Tamandua tetradactyla: one gene and its partner. The protein of the gene in region 1 purifies or fractionates together with the protein of each later gene. This does not show direct contact. Links are inferred from orthologs where the notes say so. Each region holds a gene or a part of one and is shown on either strand. Other genes may lie near its edges.

What was found. Proteins that work in one complex are often made in the same cells at the same time.
Region 2: the proteins of E3 SUMO-protein ligase RanBP2 (region 1) and BICD2 purify together in Homo sapiens (affinity purification with western blotting; 3 studies listed by BioGRID and IntAct, with this or other methods). This does not show direct contact. The link is inferred for Tamandua tetradactyla from reciprocal best matches to the Homo sapiens genes RANBP2 and BICD2.

What each region holds. Positions count from the first base shown.
Region 1 is NC_135343.1:73,416,503-73,424,880, reverse strand, and holds the start of E3 SUMO-protein ligase RanBP2, read right to left. Parts: upstream 3,466-8,378; 5' UTR 3,361-3,465; coding exon 3,289-3,360; intron 3,184-3,288; exon of another isoform or gene 3,108-3,183; intron 1-3,107. UniProt on the Homo sapiens protein: E3 SUMO-protein ligase which facilitates SUMO1 and SUMO2 conjugation by UBE2I. Involved in transport factor (Ran-GTP, karyopherin)-mediated protein import via the F-G repeat-containing domain which acts as a docking site for substrates.
Region 2 is NC_135328.1:2,423,281-2,431,647, reverse strand, and holds the start of BICD2 (protein bicaudal D homolog 2), read right to left. Parts: upstream 3,401-8,367; 5' UTR 3,384-3,400; coding exon 3,144-3,383; intron 1-3,143. UniProt on the Homo sapiens protein: Acts as an adapter protein linking the dynein motor complex to various cargos and converts dynein from a non-processive to a highly processive motor in the presence of dynactin.

The sequences.
Region 1 (8,378 bases):
ACAAAGAAGACACTCAACAAACTCCAACAGACTCATCCCATGATATGTTGTAATTAAACTGTTGAACGCCAAATATAAAAACAGAATCCAAGAGAAAATGAACGTGTCAACCTAATAAGATAAGTGCCAATTTCTCAACAGAAACCATGGAGGCAAGAAGGTAACAGAATGACATCTTTCAAGTTCTGAAAGCAAAAAAGGATTCTATATTCAGCAAAGCTGTTTTTCAAAAGTGAGAGAAGAGCATAAGATACTTCCAGATAAAACCTAAGGGAGTTTGTTTCCACTAGACTGGCCCTATAAGAAATACTAAACCCAGTCTGCAGGTGGAAAGGAAAGGACAATAGCGTGAAGCCACATGAAGATACAAATGGCTCTGGTGAGGGCAGTGACATGAGTAAATATAAATGCTAGTACCATTTGTAACTCCACTTTTTACTTCCTACAGGAGCTAAAAGGCAAATGCATAAAATGTCATGAGAAATCAGCAGTTTGGACTCATAAAGGCGGGGGGACTGAGAAGTATAGTAACATAGTGTACACTAATGGAGTTAAGTTGGTATCTAAGCAAACAAGATTATTATAGATTTTCTATGTTAAATTTAAGTCCTGTGGCAACTACAAAAAAAGTATCAGAGAACATGAAAATTCACACAGCCAGAAATTAGAATACAGGTTGCCAGGGTGGGAGATAAATGGAATGGGAGTTGATGCACAATAGGTTAAGGGCTTCTGTTTAGAGAGATGGGAAAGTTTTAGTAACGTAATGCGGTAAAGGCACTGCAATAATGTGAATGTGATTAATCCTAGCCAATGTTCAAATGTGACAAAATTTAAAATTGGTGGGTAAGAGTATCTGGGAAATAGGAGTATATCAGAGTTCCCTTTATGGAGTTCGTATTATTTATGTTAACTGTTCTCTTAGGTTTGAAAGTATTTAAAAATAAAAAGTTAAAAAAAAAAAAAAGGATACTCTTCAAGGGTAAGAGATATGTGACCACAATAATAAATCCTTAAAACTGTGCACCACCCTTATTTTATTTGATGAAAAAGTCAGGTAGCTGAAAGAACATTCCCTATGTCATTCTAACTTCTGTCTAGACTAGTCATTCTTTTGGGAGCCAGGGTCCCCATAGATAATCTGATCAATGCTCTAAATCTGCTTTAAAAAAAAAAATCATATTCATCCACAGCTGCGAATCTCCCTGGCAATGTGGGATATGACTCCCAGGGATGAGCCTGGCCCTGGATGGTGGAATGGACAATGCCTTTCTGACCAAAAGGGCTTAAATGTAACAAAATAAAATAGCAGTGGATAAGAGGGTTCAAACAGAGCCCAGAGACATTCTGCAGACTACTCTTATGCAAGCTTCAGCTAGGTATTGCTAATTACCAAGATGTGCCAAGCCCCAACCAACATCATTCCTGTTAAGCCTAAAGAACACCCAGGGCTCTATCTGAGATCCTACAAAAGTTGCACACAGTAAGTTTACTTTTCAGAAATCTAAAAACTTCGTATGGTTCCTTGGTCAGATAAATTCTGAAACCCAGAGATGCCATTTCTCCAAGAACATCAACCCATTACATCCCCCATCCCACGCTGTCGACACCCCTTTTCAAGACGAAAAAAGTTAGAATGGCATAACCCAAATACCCCTAAACATTGGGGGGAGAAGGATCAAAGGAGGAGTTATAACAGAAAAGTTAGAATTTAACAAATGAGTATGACTATGAATCATTATATTGCTATTTCTTTCTAGTCTCCAATGTCTTGGAGCAGCTAGAAGGAAAAACCTGAAGTCGTGGAACTGTAACTCATAACAAACTTTGAAATCTGTTCTATAACTGTTAAAATATACTTTGAAATTTATTGTTTTGTATATACATTATATTTCAAAATAAAAAATGTTTAAAAAGCAAGTCACATCACTCTAAGGGTACAAAAACCCTTAAGATTCTTCTACACTCTACTACCACACTTACATTTATGTCTACGTAAGCAGTTGAAATAATCTGTAGAGAGGTACTTATTTCTCCCCTCCTGAGGAACAGGATATAACGTAATCCACTGTTCCTAAATTAAAATAAACCTGGCCCATGTCAAAATCCTGCAGTCACCTATGAAACCTTACACAAGTACCTCCTGATATGCATCTGCAGTTGTTGGGACACTAAACAAGAAAAATATCTGGGATGTAGAATAAGATTATATTGCTATTATAATCAATCATTCATGCGTTTTCTTGTTTTTTTTAAAACTCCTTTCAACATTAACAATAAAAATAAATTCCAGCAAACACGTAATTAGCCCTTCTATGCACAAGCACTAACATGCATCACCCTATCTTATCCTATCAATGCTGCACCTCCACCTTATTAAGAGAAAACAGTTTAACTTGTCCCAAATCCAGGTAAAATGACTCCAGATCTTGTGCAAGCCCACATGTAATACCTTTTTCCTCACTCTCCACATCCAATCACTAAAGTTCTGCCGAATCCAAAATATATTTAGCACATTATTTACCTTAAAAGAAGAAAAATACCGTAAAAGCACGTTAAGGAAATGGGTTAAAATTTTTAACCAGAGTAAGTAACAACGTCCTATTAGAAATTTAGAATTCGCGAGGAACGTGTGTGTGTGTGTGTTTGTGTGTGTAGAGTGGCAAAAAAAAAAGACGCTTCCAGAGAGTCCTGGTGGGGAGGGGGGGACAACAGAAGGAGGGTCAGGACCCTTATAAATACAGCGCCGGACGCCTCAAGCCAGGGGAATTCAGTCTCATTTGCGCTGTGTGTCAAGCACTTGCAAATGTGGCTTTCCATGCTCCGTTCCGTTAGGTGACTACGACGATCACCTGTCTCAGTAGTAAATGCCCACCCTCAAACTGCGTCAGTACTGGGTTCCACTTCCAAGCATGGGAGTGGTGGAGGACGCGCGGGCCATAAACGGTGCGCGAGCTGCCGAGAAACCCGAGCCTGGTGGGCCCGCCAGATAGGTCGGTCGGGAGCCGACCAGGAAGAAGAGGAAGCTCTGATGCCAACGGCCGCTCGCTGGCCGCTGGGCCCCGCGCGCGCGGTTCCCGAGCCCTGCGCCCCTCCCACACGCGCCTCCCCCGCCCCGCACGCTCTCGAGCGCCACGCAACCCACGGGACCGCGCTGGCCGGCTAGCGCCTCAACGGAACGAGGTAAGCAGCAGCCGGCAGGGAGCCATTAGGCCGGCGCCAGTGCCGGGCATCGGGGCCTCCGCTGGCCCAGGGCCAGATCCACCCCTCTCTTGAGCACTCACTCACCTCTCGGGGCGACGGAACGGAGCCCTGCACGGAGGCGATGTACCGCTCCACGTCGGCCTTGCTGCGCCTCATTGCGCCGACGTCCGAGCTCCCGGTACGCGGAAGGCCGACACTGGGGCCCACAGCGACCGGCAGGCTCAAGGAGCAAAGCGCCTAAAAGCCGTGACGCAGCGCCGTCGCCGACTGAAGAGCGGCATGACGTACGTGCGTGTTGCATCAGCACTGTGCGCCACGCCGACGACGGTGGCGCGTTGGGGCGGTGCGCCTCGCCGGCTCCCCCCACCACGCACTGCCCGAGTCGCGTCTGGTTTCTGGGGTTTTGTCCGGAGTTGGTGCAGTTACGCCACTTCCCGGTGTTCTTTGCTCACCGCCCTCTAAAACCGGTTGCAGGTTTGGGCTTTCTCCGCCAGGGCTTCCTGAGGATGAGGAACAGGAAAAACATTCAATACCACAAATGAGTCAAGGAATATTAACCAAATTGAAATATCAATTTACCAAAGGTCTTTTTTAACGTTTTGTCCCTTTCTTCTTAATTACACATTTGTGTGGAAGGAAAAAGCACTCATACCATTTTGGTGAACCTTTCAATTGGAGCAGTCTTTTGTGTTGGACACCTGTGTATCCGAAGCATACAGTTTTTAAAAGCTTGAGAAATTTTGTAGGTGTGTGATTGAAAGGTAGGCCTCGAATACTTTGTTTTAGACGATGTTGATTTTTGTTGAAAACTTTATAAAAAGCCCTAAAATTTATGCATATTTCATTAGAACAGGGTACATAAAAATTTCAAGATGTTAACGTCATCTGTATATTTCAAATCGTCAATAGTGTGTACTTTTGGAATTTGAATTTTTAAATTTTAGATCAAAGCCGGCGTTTTCAGGGGTGAAGACATTTTTACGCTTCGAGCATGTCTGTGTACACCGTGGGGTCTTGAGTTTGTGGGAAAATATCAAACAGGAAATATGTTCACATTTATAACAAGATTTGGCATGGGTAATTTTTATTCTTATGGTTTTTCCATATTTTCCAAGGTTTCTATAACGAACAAGTATTACCTTTTATAAAGATGGAAAAATAGCATTTCGTTTTGTTTTGTTTCGATCATATTGAATGCATATGAGGGAAAAGGAAAAGATTGCTGGGAGGCTTCTAGACTGACTGAGGTGCATTAAGAATAGTATAAACTAGAATCTGGTTTGGAATGGAAGATGGTATTTTAAGTAATTGATTCATTTCAGTTGAGATATCAGTTATATATATCCTGTTGAAGATGCCTGGTAGGTAGAAGAAATGGTAGGTCAAAGATTCAGGGTGGACTTGGTACCTGGCTTGGAGCTCATGAGCCTCAGGTGACAGTTAAAAGCATGAATTTGCCTTGGAAAGTGTTAGTAAGAACACCCATAGCTAACAACTAAGCACTGTGTTCCATGCCCTTTTCGTAGCGCTTCATATGTATTAGTTTATTTAATCCCCCCAACCGCTTTGTGAGCGGCACTACTATACATTATCATCCTCAGTTTAACAAATTAGGAAGCCAAAGGAGTGAGCAGGAAAGCAACTTGCCGAGCACCCTTTCCAAGTAAAATAAGAACGATTAATCTGCTTAAAATACTGAAAAGAAGTTGACCAAAGAGGGAACCTTCTTGAGGAACTCAAATGCTTTCCTTGAGTAGGTTTATTAAGCTTCAAAACCCAATTTCATCAAGTATGAGTCTGTTCTTCTGGGCTTTAGAAATAGGCACTCTTCTTCATGATGTCTGTTCCTTCCTCAACATAGACCAGTTCCATCCAAACCTGTTCTGACACAGAATTATCCTTTCCCCCAAGTCACACACCTGGTTGTAATGTTCTCTCTTAACTGCTCCTTTAGTCATTTTGATGCTGTGCATCAATTTGAATGAAGCATGAATCCATAAAAACCTGACTTAGGACATTTTTCAGCAGCAGCAGTTTTACCTGATTAATCTCCTGATGACTTCTGAATTAACATTGAGCTAATAATCATCCAATATTGGTGCTGATCGAACTTAGGAGTTTTTCCTTCTCCTTAAGCACCTCTACCTTGTTGCTGGTTACCATCCATTGCATAGACACAGTATCTTTCATGTATCACATGATTCCTTTCTTCTTCAGCTCATTCATACTGTCAATTTGTCCTGTCGTTTTCTCAGCACTCCAAATTTGTATGATCATATAGGAATCCTTAACTACTGCTTACTATAATGCACTTTTCAATGCTCTCATGGCTTTTGAACTTAGAATTGATGAGGTTAAAAATGTTCACAAAAAAATCTCAAAAACAAAAGGAACCAAATGACTGCAAATTACTACTGACAATTATGTACTTGCACATAATTAACTTGTTTTCATTTTAAACTTTTGCTTTGACTGCATCTCTGAAATTAGAAGCTCCTACACATTCTGCTCTTGATATCCATACCATCTAAACTGCTTTATGTACAGAAGGGGCCTTTTCACACATAAATTGAGGAAGGATTTGGAACTATCACAGGATAGCACAATGCTGCCTGAAACCATATGGGGAAAAATTTGTACAAAATCATGAATTAGGGGATATATGTGTATATATCTGTATGATATACCTTTGTTAGTATGTATTTGTGGGAAATGGAATCCCCTCTATCAGTGCTAACAGAAATATAATATGACCTAATACGTAATTAAAATGTTCTAGTAGCCACATTTAAAAAAGTAAAAGGGAACAGGAGAAATTAATTTTAATCTTTTTTCAACCTAATATATTCAAAATGTAATTTCAACATATAATTGATATAAACACATTATCCATGAGCTATTTTACATTCTTTTTTTGTACTAAGCCTTTAAGATTTGATGTGCATTTTACATTTGCAGGACATCTCAAATCAGACACTAAACTTTCATAAGAAATGCTTGATCTGTATTTCTATTTCATAAAATTTAGGGTTGAAAAAATAGATTCACATACCCAAGTTGTTCTAAACATACTTCAATGTTTTCCAATAGCTTAATCAAATATCATTTTGTAAAATTTTAATTTTAATTAAAATTTAAACTCTTCACCCTTGGTTCCTAAAAGTTCACTTTTGAAAAAAAATGGTGCAGGCAAAATCCAGACTGCCCATGGTTAAGGATAGATTAAGTGGTAAGGAAATGGACGTACAAAGTTTTGGTTACTTTTCTAATAGAACTTACCTTGGTGTCTTTGGTAAAATATCATGTAGAAAAATTGTCCCTTTTTTGGGCAGATAGTTCTATGACTATTAAGACATGTATAGATTTATGTGTCCACTACCACAGTCAGGAATCAGGACAGCTCTGTCATCCCCCCAAAACTCATTCATGTAATCCCTTTGTAGTCATACTCTCCATTCACCCCTTAACACTGGTCATTTCTCCACACTGTAGTTTTGTCTTTTCAACTTTTCAAGAATGTCATAAAAATGGAATAGAATCATATTTAACCTTTTGAGAGTGGCATCTTTTACTCAGCATAATACCTTTGAAATCTCTACAAATTGTTGCATTGTATCAGTAATCTTTTTTTGTGGACCTACCACAGTTTTGTTACCCATTTTCCAGTTGCAAGACATTTGGGTTGTTACCACTTTTTGTTGATTATGCCTAGAGTTGCTATGAACACTTACCATCTATACGTTTCTCAACAAGCACAGATGTTCATTTCTCTAGGGTAAGAGTCAGCATATGGCCTGTGGGCTGGCCACCTGCTTTTACAATGCAGTGACAGGAGTTGAGTAATTGTGACAGAGAACTATGGCCAGCAAACCTAAGACATTTACTATCTGACCCTTAAAAGAAAAATTTTGCTAATCCTTGTTCTAGAATAAAAACCCAGGAGTGGGATTGTTGGGTACCATTGTGGGTATATGTTGAACTTTATAAGAAATTGCCAAACTGTTTTCCAGAGTGGCTGAATCTTGTTTGCATTCCTGTCAGCAATGCATGAGAGCTCTGCATCCTCACCATCACTTGGGTATACTCAGTATTTTTTATTTAATTCATTCTAAAAGGTGTGTAATGGATCTCATCCTGGTTTCATTTTAGCCCTTAAAATGTTAGACATCTTTTCCTGTGCATATTTTCCATTCATTTATCCTTTTTGTAACCTGAGTTTTAGTTTAGTTGTTGCCCATTTTTCAGTCAGGTTGTTTTCTTATTGTTGAGTTCTGATAGTACTTTATGTAGTCTAATTTTATGTCCTCTATCAGATACATGATTTGAAGGCATTTTCCTCCCAGTGTGTAGTTTGGTTTTTTCATTCTGTAAACAGTGCCACCTGCAGAGCAAATTTTTTAATTTTGATAAAGTTCAACATACCATTTTTTTTCCATTTGTGAATCATGCATTTTGGGTCATGTCTAAGAACTCTTTGCCTACCCCAGGTCATGAATACTTTCTTCTATGCCTTGTAGTTTTGGTTTATGCTATTCATTTAGACCTTTGATTCAGTTTGAGCTCATTTTTGTATTAAGTAGAAGGGAAATAAGCATATCCTTTCACCTATTCAACAGTATAATCTATTCAACATTGTACTGGACGGGCTAGCCAGGGACAGACCAGAAAAAGAAATAAAGGGCATCCAGATAGAAATGGAAGGCATGAAATTATCACGTAGATAACATGATCTTGCATATAGAAAACTAAGTAATCCTTTTTAAAGAACTATTCAAACTAATAAACTAGTTCAGTAAGGTTGCAGGATACAAGGCAATGTATAAAAAATGAGTTGTATTTCCAAACACTAGCAATGGACAACTATAAAGGAAATTAAGAAAATTCCATTTACAAAAATATCAAAAAGAATAAAAGATTTACAAATAAATTTAACCTGAGAAATGCAAGAACTGAACACTGAAAACAAAACATTGTTGAACATCAGTGAAAAGACAGTTCTAAAAATGGGCAGTGGATCTGAATAGACAGTGCTGTAACCTAAAGATGGATAAGAAACACATGATAAGATGTCCAACATCATTATTGAAATGCAAATTGGAACAACAAGGAGATACTACTTACCTATGAGGATTACTAGAATAAAAATATCAACAACAAAAAAGCAGAAAAGTAAC
Region 2 (8,367 bases), on another chromosome or scaffold:
TGAGCCCGTGGGCACAGGCTCCTCACTGGCCAGTCAATGCCCATGCTGGCAAGGTGATACCTCTGAGGACAGGCTAACCCCCCACCAAAGAGACCAGACTGTGGGACTGGACCATGGCCTCCCACTCATCCGCCACAGGGCCCTCTTCAGCTCTGCACATAACACCAATACCCTGAGACCAGCCAGCCAACTTCTCTTCCTCAAAAACTGGATTATTTGCAAATGCTGGCCAGAGTAGAAGCAATTCCACTGGAGAATAATCTGTTAATAACCAAACCCCAACTTTAACTCCAGATATAATTTTAAAAAAAATTAAGATGGTTCACCTCTCTCCAGGGAGAAAAAATAAAAGGTCCTAACAAAAATGGCCCTTAAATCTTGACTCTCAAAGTGAGAGTTGGGATTTTCAACTATAGCACTGGCCAAAATTAAATGAGCTGGCACTACCAGGTGTTGGCACAGGAACGAGCAAGATGGCCCTTGTACACTGTCGAGGGTGGGTGAACTGGGGCACACTTTCTAGCATCACTCTGAGACTCTGATAGACATCCCCCCAGATGCCAGGAGGGACTTCCAGTGGAAACTTTCTAAGCCCCACCTCACAAAGGCAGAAACTGAAGTTCCGAATGGGGAAGCAACTATCCAACGTCACATGGAGAGTAAGCAGAAAGCCAGGAGGCAGTGCTCAGGCCCAAGCAGGTGGCTGAAGAACACAAACACCTGCGGGAACTCTGGGACACGCTCCTCCTCACTCTGCTAAGGCCCTACCCTCCAGACACACGCCCCCAAATTAAGCCAAAATTCTTGTGTTGTGCCAAAATGTTTGTGTTTACAATATGAAAGAGCTGACAACAACGGAAATGCCAGAAGTGGGAACTAGTTCAGTCAACGAGAGCAGACGCTTATCGGGGACAGTGGACACGAGCACTTGGAGGCACGAAGGAGACACGTTTGTGGTGCCTGGGAGGGGCTCGACCACGCACCCCAGGGAAGGGCAGTCTGGCTCGGAACCACCACTGGGCCTGCTCGCTGGGCATGTAGAGGGAAGACATGAGGCCCCAGGGAGAGCTTTCTAGCAGCTGTCTGCAGGGAGAAGGGGGAGTCCCATCACTGGAAGACCACAAGTGGGGCCTCAGCCGTGTGCTCGCAGCCCCCAGCCCCCTCCGTGGCAGCTCTGACCCCACCCTGCACTCCAACTGTTAGGGTTTCTCTTCCTCTGTACGGCACTCGTGCAGGAGGGACCACACCAGACGTTCCAGCCAGGCTGGCTCGAAGGCGGCGCCAACGCCCCGGAGACAGATGACCAAGAGCCGCCGGGCGGACAGCCAGTGTGGCAAAGCTGAAAGGGAGGGAGGAGTGGGAGGAGCCCTGCTCCCAGTCTGCCCCTCAGTCAGTCACTCACCAGTGCTAACTAGTACCCATGCAGCCACGCAGTGTTCTACGTGCTTTTTTGGATTAACATGTTTACTCCTCTCCGCAGCTGTAGAGATCCTACTGGAGAGCGAAGCAAGAGAGACTCCAAGCCGTCAAGGCAACTGCTCAAGTCCGGCTGGGAGCAGAGGGACTGGGGGGTGGGGGAGTAGTGAGCAGCTGTGGAAGCAGTAAGCACAGTGGGTCCCTGAGACCTGGGAGCCAGCAGCCAAAAGCCCCACTGGACAAGGGAGAGTAGTCCAGCGCGAAGAGAGCAAGGAGCACATACTGTCAGAGACACCGACAGGTCACAGAAACACCCCACTCCACATCTGATACCCTGCCAGACTTTTCCAAACATACAATCCTCACAGAACCCTTTCTGGCTGGGCAATGTTGCACCCCTAGTTTGCAGAGACAGAAATCAAGTCTTAGGGAGTGCCCTGCCCACAGCCACATCACTAGCCAGGGAGGGGCAGGGTCCGGGTCCAAACCAGCACATCTATCCAGAAAGCAACCCTGCTTTAGGGTTTAAGATTGAGAGGGGTGGGGGATGGGACAGAAACTTGTATTTAAATCACCCCAGGAGAATTACTGCCTAACTACTGCAAGCAACAGATTGCCTAGTTCAACTCAGATACCTTTCCTAGAAGCCCCTAACAGCTCCCTCTTTATGAAAAAACCTGAGGCAGCTTAGGAAGCTAATCTCCTAATGCCCAAAGTCAAAATTCAACAGGAAACAGCCCCACAAAAGCACCCACAGACCTGCTAGCACATTTGCTGAGGCCTTCTGGGCGACACAATAAGGAAGGGCTTTAGGAGGGGGGGCTAAGGACAGGAAGTGAGCGATAGAGGCAATACATTCCAGCTGGTGGGAGAAGCAATCACAGCACTGAAGAGAGAGCACCTGGTTAGAGAGCTGGGCTTGGGGAGGGGACACTGGACAGTCCCCAGCCAGCCGCAGCAGCCATGTGCAAAACCAAGTCACTGACTTCCTAAGGTCTCTGTCCAGGGCCTTTCCTGGACTCAGAGCCAGCAAGACGCTGAAACCATGCTAAAAGAGAAGGAAAGTGATTTGTCTAGCGGCCACACAGACCCAGGCCTAGCCTTTCCCCGCTGGTCAAAGCACTGCAGAGGCTATTACCCCCACCTTATAAAACCGCCACCAGAGACCCTGCCACCCAGATAAAGGCAGGCTGCCTTTGCTCGCGGAGGTCAAGATCTGATCCCACATGTCCCGTCTATGATGCCGTAGGACCCGCCTGCCCGGCTTGCAGGAAGCCACTGGGCTGGCATTCTCCCGCGAGTGGGCCAGCTGCAGGCAAGGGGAGCCCAGCCGGTGCCCCCCTCCCCCCGGTCACTCGGGGACTGGTCCTGCCATTCCTCACGGTCTTGGGAGCGGGTGGCTGGGAGGGGCCGGGATAGGAGGGGAAGCGCCCGGAAGCGGGATCCCCAGGGTCCAGCAGCGGTCCTCGCCGCCCCAATCGCAGGGGCGAGGGAGGGGCGAGGTTCTTCCACTATCAGGGCCCCTCTTCCATCTCCCGGTGCCAAAGGAAGGGTGACCTTGGGCGGCGGCCACCTCCCTCTCGGCCCCACGGAAGCCGGCCTGGCTGAGTCCCGGGCTCCCCCGCGCCAGCCAGGCTCGCGGGTCGGGTCAGAGGCAGGGGTCCGAGCCGGGCGGGGCCCGCGGGCGGGCGTGGCGGCGGCCGGCCCGGGGGCGGCGGGGCGCTCACCTCTTTGAGCTGCTCCATCTCGCCGCGGATGGCCTCGTAGTCCACCTCGAGCTCCTCGAACTGCAGCTTGAGCTGGTGCTTCTCCTCGAGCACCGCCAGCCCGTACTCGGCCGCCTGAATCTTCTCGCGCGTGGTCTCGGCCAGCTCGTGGGAGAGCCGCTTCACCTCGGCGCGCAGCCATTCGGGCTGCGCCTCCATGACCAGCCGCGCGTACTCCTCCTCCTCCGAGGGCGCCGACATGGCGGGGGCTCCGGCAGGCCAGGGGCCGCGCTCGCGCCGCGCTCACCAGCCGCCGCCGCCGCCGCCCATCCCCGACGGCCGCCCCGGGCCGCGGTCGCTCCGCCGTCCTGCTCGCCGCCGCCGCCGCCCGGGGGATGATGGGGGCTGGAGTCCCGCCGCGCGCCGACTACTCGCCCCGGCGTGCCCCGCGCTGCCCCGCCACGCCCCCTCCCGCCGCCACGATTGGTCCGCGCCGTCGACGTCACAGCGGCGCAGACGCCGGCGCGCCCCGCGGCCGCCCGGGCCTTCCGGTCCTCGCGGGCACGGCGGCCGGGGCCCTCGAACGTTGCCCGGTGCGGTTGTCGGGACCCTCCGTGGCGGAGGGCGGCCCGGAGGCCATGCCAGCGGGCGGAGGGGCCCCGGCCGAGGCGCCCGCACAGCGGCTGTACACCCTCGGGCGAGTGGCCCAGCCGCTCTGAGCTTTCCCGTCGGGTCCTGGAGGTTCTGGTGGAGGAGAGTTACCGGCTCTGGGGTTTTTAAGGAATTGTGGGGAGCGCCTGGAGCCCTCTCGGAGGAAACCTCCGCCCGCGCGGGGACGGTCGGCGCGGCGCGCGGTTTCTGGAGGTCCGACACCGGCCCCAGCCGCGCGGCGGAAAGGAGAAGCGCCCCACTGCGTTAAGATGGAGGAGGTGGGCGTTTGGAGTGGGGAAGAATAGAGGGTCCGGTGTCAGGTTTCTGGATTCCCAGAAAAGACGGGGTTAGCCGTATTCTGTGGGAAGGAGGATGGACGTGAATGTTGAGAACAGCGACCGCAAGAGCGCACGCCAAAATGATGACAGGTTGGCAGAAGGGGGGCGTGTAGGACTGGAGGGGACGTTAGCTCCAACTGCTTTCTCGTGTCACCCCTAAATACTTGAGGGGGTACTTGCTGAGAATAAAGACGTAACCACCGTAAGGACGAGTTGGGGATATTTAACACTGACGGATGCCATCCTCTACTCTACAGTCTGTGTTCCGGTTTCCTTGGTGTTCCAGTACTGCCCTTTATGGCACCTTTTTTTTCTGTCCAGGGTCCGATTTCGAATCATGGGTGGCACTCCTTTGGCATGCTTCTTTAAGCTCTAATCTGGAAGGCTCTCTCGGTCTTTCTCTTTCATGACCTTGACCATTCTGAGGAATATAGGCCAGCTGTTTGCACCCTGGCTCTCTATTTGTGCTTGTCACATATATCCCCCTGGAACGATTTAGGTTGTGTGACTGGCAGGAATATCTCAGGAGTGAGGCTCGGTACATCCTACGTGGACTGCATAGCCTTCATTTTGTCCCATTGGTGGTGGTAATTGACATCACCTTAGTTAAGGTGGCATCTGCTGGGTTTCTCCCCTGTCGAGTTAGGATTTTTCTCTTTGTAGTTAGAATCATGGAAGAAGACACTGAAGCTATGCAAATATTCTGTTACTCTTCTTTTACCCACTAGTTTTACCATTAGTTGATATTTCTTGACTGAACTATTACCATACTAGTTGCTTTTCTATTTCCATCGTTGCTTCTCCGTTTATTAGTTGGCTTTGTACTGTAGGGTAGATGTGTTCCTTTTCATCCATTCATCATTGATATGGATTCAAGGATTCCTATTTTACCCATTGGGTTGCAAGCCACTACTCTCCTTATCTGCCCTGGTGCTCCAGTAACCCCAGATGTAGCTTGCTGCTCTATCCTTTCAATATGTCATCTCTTTTGAGATTTCCTTTCTGGCCCACATCACAGGATCATATACTTCCATGTCCCAGACCTGGAATCAACCATTTCTCCAAGGGAAACTGATTTCTTTTAGTTGTTTAAACATGCTCTATTTCTATGGGAAGAATATATCGTATTTTCACTTGTGAAATTAAAAATAATTTTTAATTATTTTAATGTTTAAGGAGTTCAATCATGATAGAAGTAGGTTGACCAGTGGTTCCAGTGTGCTGGGACTATCCTGGTTTTAACCCATGTCCTGGGAAACTGGGATTGTTGTTCATGGGAGATCCTAGGGAAAAGGAGAAGGAACAAGACTTGTTTGAGCAAATGTCTAATGTAGGACGGACTGAAACTCCATGAGTCATTGACTGACCCAAGTCAGAGAGCCTCGGTGGCAATGCCCAGATCTGACCAGACTGGGCTGACTTGGGTGCCCCTTCCCCCATCCTGCCTTCATACAGAGGGCAGATGGTGCAAGGACGGATCACAAGAGCTTTAACCTTGGAGACAGGGTAGTGATAGAAGAAAGTGGGGGAGGCCTCACACATTCAGTCTACAGACAGGGACTCTGTGGAGGCACAGAGACCTGTCGCTACGATCCGGAACATCCTTCAAGCAGGAGAGAAAGCTGCTCTGCTATCTAGGTTAGACCTCTGAGAAAGGAGGCTGGAAGCCATGATGTATGTGATGGGAGGGGAGGGAAAGGGGTGCATCAGGAAAGGCTTCCCTGAGGTGGTGAACACCTGGTGGAGCCCCAGAGAATGCACAGGTGTTGGCCAGTCAAAAGCTGCCAGAAGGAGGGGGGACTTGCAGGGACCAGAAGCAGAGCTGCTCCATATCCATCAGGTCGTGAATGGGTCACCCATTACTGGGCTCCTCCTGGACACCCAACATCACCAGGTGCTCAACATGCATCATTTTGTCCTCACCACCCTCAGAAAGGTGGGAACTATCTCATGTTTCAGGAAGGAGAAAGTCTCAGGGCAAAACCCTTGGTATCGCCTTTGATTTCCTGCTTCTCACACTCCTCTCCCAGTCTGCCAGCAAGGGCTATCTGCCCAAGTTTCAGAACAGACCTCAATTCACACCCTTTTCCCATGCTCCATGCAAGCCATGTCACCTGCCTGAGCTGATGCTGTCACCTCACTGGCCTCCCTGTCCTCATACCCCACCCAGGTCTACCGTCTAAACAACAGTAGAGGAGCTCTTTAGACCCCAGTCAGGCCACATCCCTCCTAGAGTCAGAGGCAGTCCATTACAGTGGTCTCCAAGGCCCTGTGCAGTGTGCTGACTCTCCCCCTCTGACCTCTCTCACTACCCTCTGGCCACCTAGTCTCCCTGCAGTACTTCCAGCAAGGGTCTTTCCTCTTCCCTCTGCCTGAAACCTCTTCCTCAGAGGCCCATGGGGCTCACTCCCTCACCACCTTGGCTTTCCAGTCCATTGTCCTAATCAAATTGGACTGATGTGAGTGACCAAGTCTGTCTCCATGAGCTGAAGGTGTCAGAACACAGTGCGCACAGGAGCCTGCAATAGATGTTGGGTCTAGAGGACCGAGGAGACATGGAGTGGGTGACAAGTGGGCTGGCTCCTGAAGGGTGGGCACCTGTTTGCCCTGTTGGAAGTTGAAGAAGAGCATTCCAGAATGAAGGACCCAGAGAGACAAAGTCGTGGGATCGTGGATCAGTGTGGCATTAGAGGAAGAGAGGGTAGAATGGTGAATTCTGGACAGCCAAGCACGACAGAATGTGTGTGTACATGTGCATATGCATTGGGAGGCAAGGAAGAGGAGGTGGATTACATCAGATCATAAAACTCTGTCATAACAAAACATGTGAGTCATCAGTTTCCAAGCCAGTGTTGACCAAAAATGACTTGGGGCTTGTCCAAACCTAGGTCTGACCTCAGCTCCCACCCTTCCCTGGGGAGCAGCAGCACCCAGCCCTGCCCTCAAGGAGCTCATTATAGAGGGAGGCAGAGGTAAGCTCATCTGCCCCAGTGAGCTAATGGTGGCTGGCACACACAGGCCTTGTTCTCCAGAAATGGGAAGCAGCTGTTGAGAGAAGGTTTGGGTAGAAACATTGATTGGGGATCAAGACCTGTGACAGGAAAGGGAAAGCCGCGAGATGGCCTGACCAGGCTGCTGCCAACCTTTCAGGAACCCAGGTGCCAGGGGTGGGCCTGGCCAGCTCAGCTCAACAGGTTCAGGAGGAGCCATTGTTACATCTTCAGGAATTTTGCCAGCTGGTTGCTAAACCGCTGGGAACTTGAAGTCAGCTACATGTGGTATGATTTATTTATACCACATAAATCAGCAGACATTACAGATTAAGTTTTTGGTCTTGTTTTGTTTTCCCCAAGAGCCAGTTTGCTGACAAACCCCCGCTCTGGAGTGAAATCTTGCCTGGTATGAAATCTTGATGGTTCTGCATCAGCCAACTGACCAGGTCTTTTGCCCCAGGCCCACTCATGTGTGGGCCACCTGGGAAGAACATGTTCTCAAGCAGGGTGGGTCCGGCAGCCACAACCAACCCTGAGGGAGCTTACAGCTGGAGGCTACTGTCCACCACACTCTGGCAGCTGGGCAGGGATTCCCTCCTTGACAGGGGATGTGGATAATGTCTCTGGGTCTGTTGGCGCTCTTGTCAAAAACGGGTTTCGGGCCCTTGCTCAAAGTGAAACACAACCTCCAAAGGGAGACCTGAGGAGTTTTATTTTTCACAAACTTTCCAGAAGATTCTGATATATTCAAGGGAGAGAAAAGCCACAGGGGCATAGCAGACACTCTTGGCTGCCTGCTCCTGGTTGCCCCACTCCTTCCCTGCTAATGGAAGCTGAGCTCCTGGGCATTGGTGGCCCTCTCAGCCCCAGAGGCTGAATCTTTGCTAGCCTCAGGAGCCAATCACATATACCTAGTCTCCTTGCATTCTGGTTTCAGGGAAGGGCTGGTGGCCCAGTTCTGGTCAGCAAGAAGTGACGAGCAAACAGCTGGCTCTCTTATGGGAGTGAATCAAGGCTGGCCTGGAAGCAGGAGGCCAGTTGGATATGTGGTCATATCTGGCAAGAACCACAAGGCCTGACTGCAGACAGTGACTATGGGATGGAGGATACGATAAGGTCTGCTGGCTTCTGGAGAGCGGGTCAGTCATGACCCTCTAGAAATGAGGGACAGGACCCGACTCACAACTCACAGAAAATAGGGAGCATTCATTGGTTCACACAGTTGCAAAGTCTGGGGGGCAGCTGCATTCAGGCCAGCTGGAT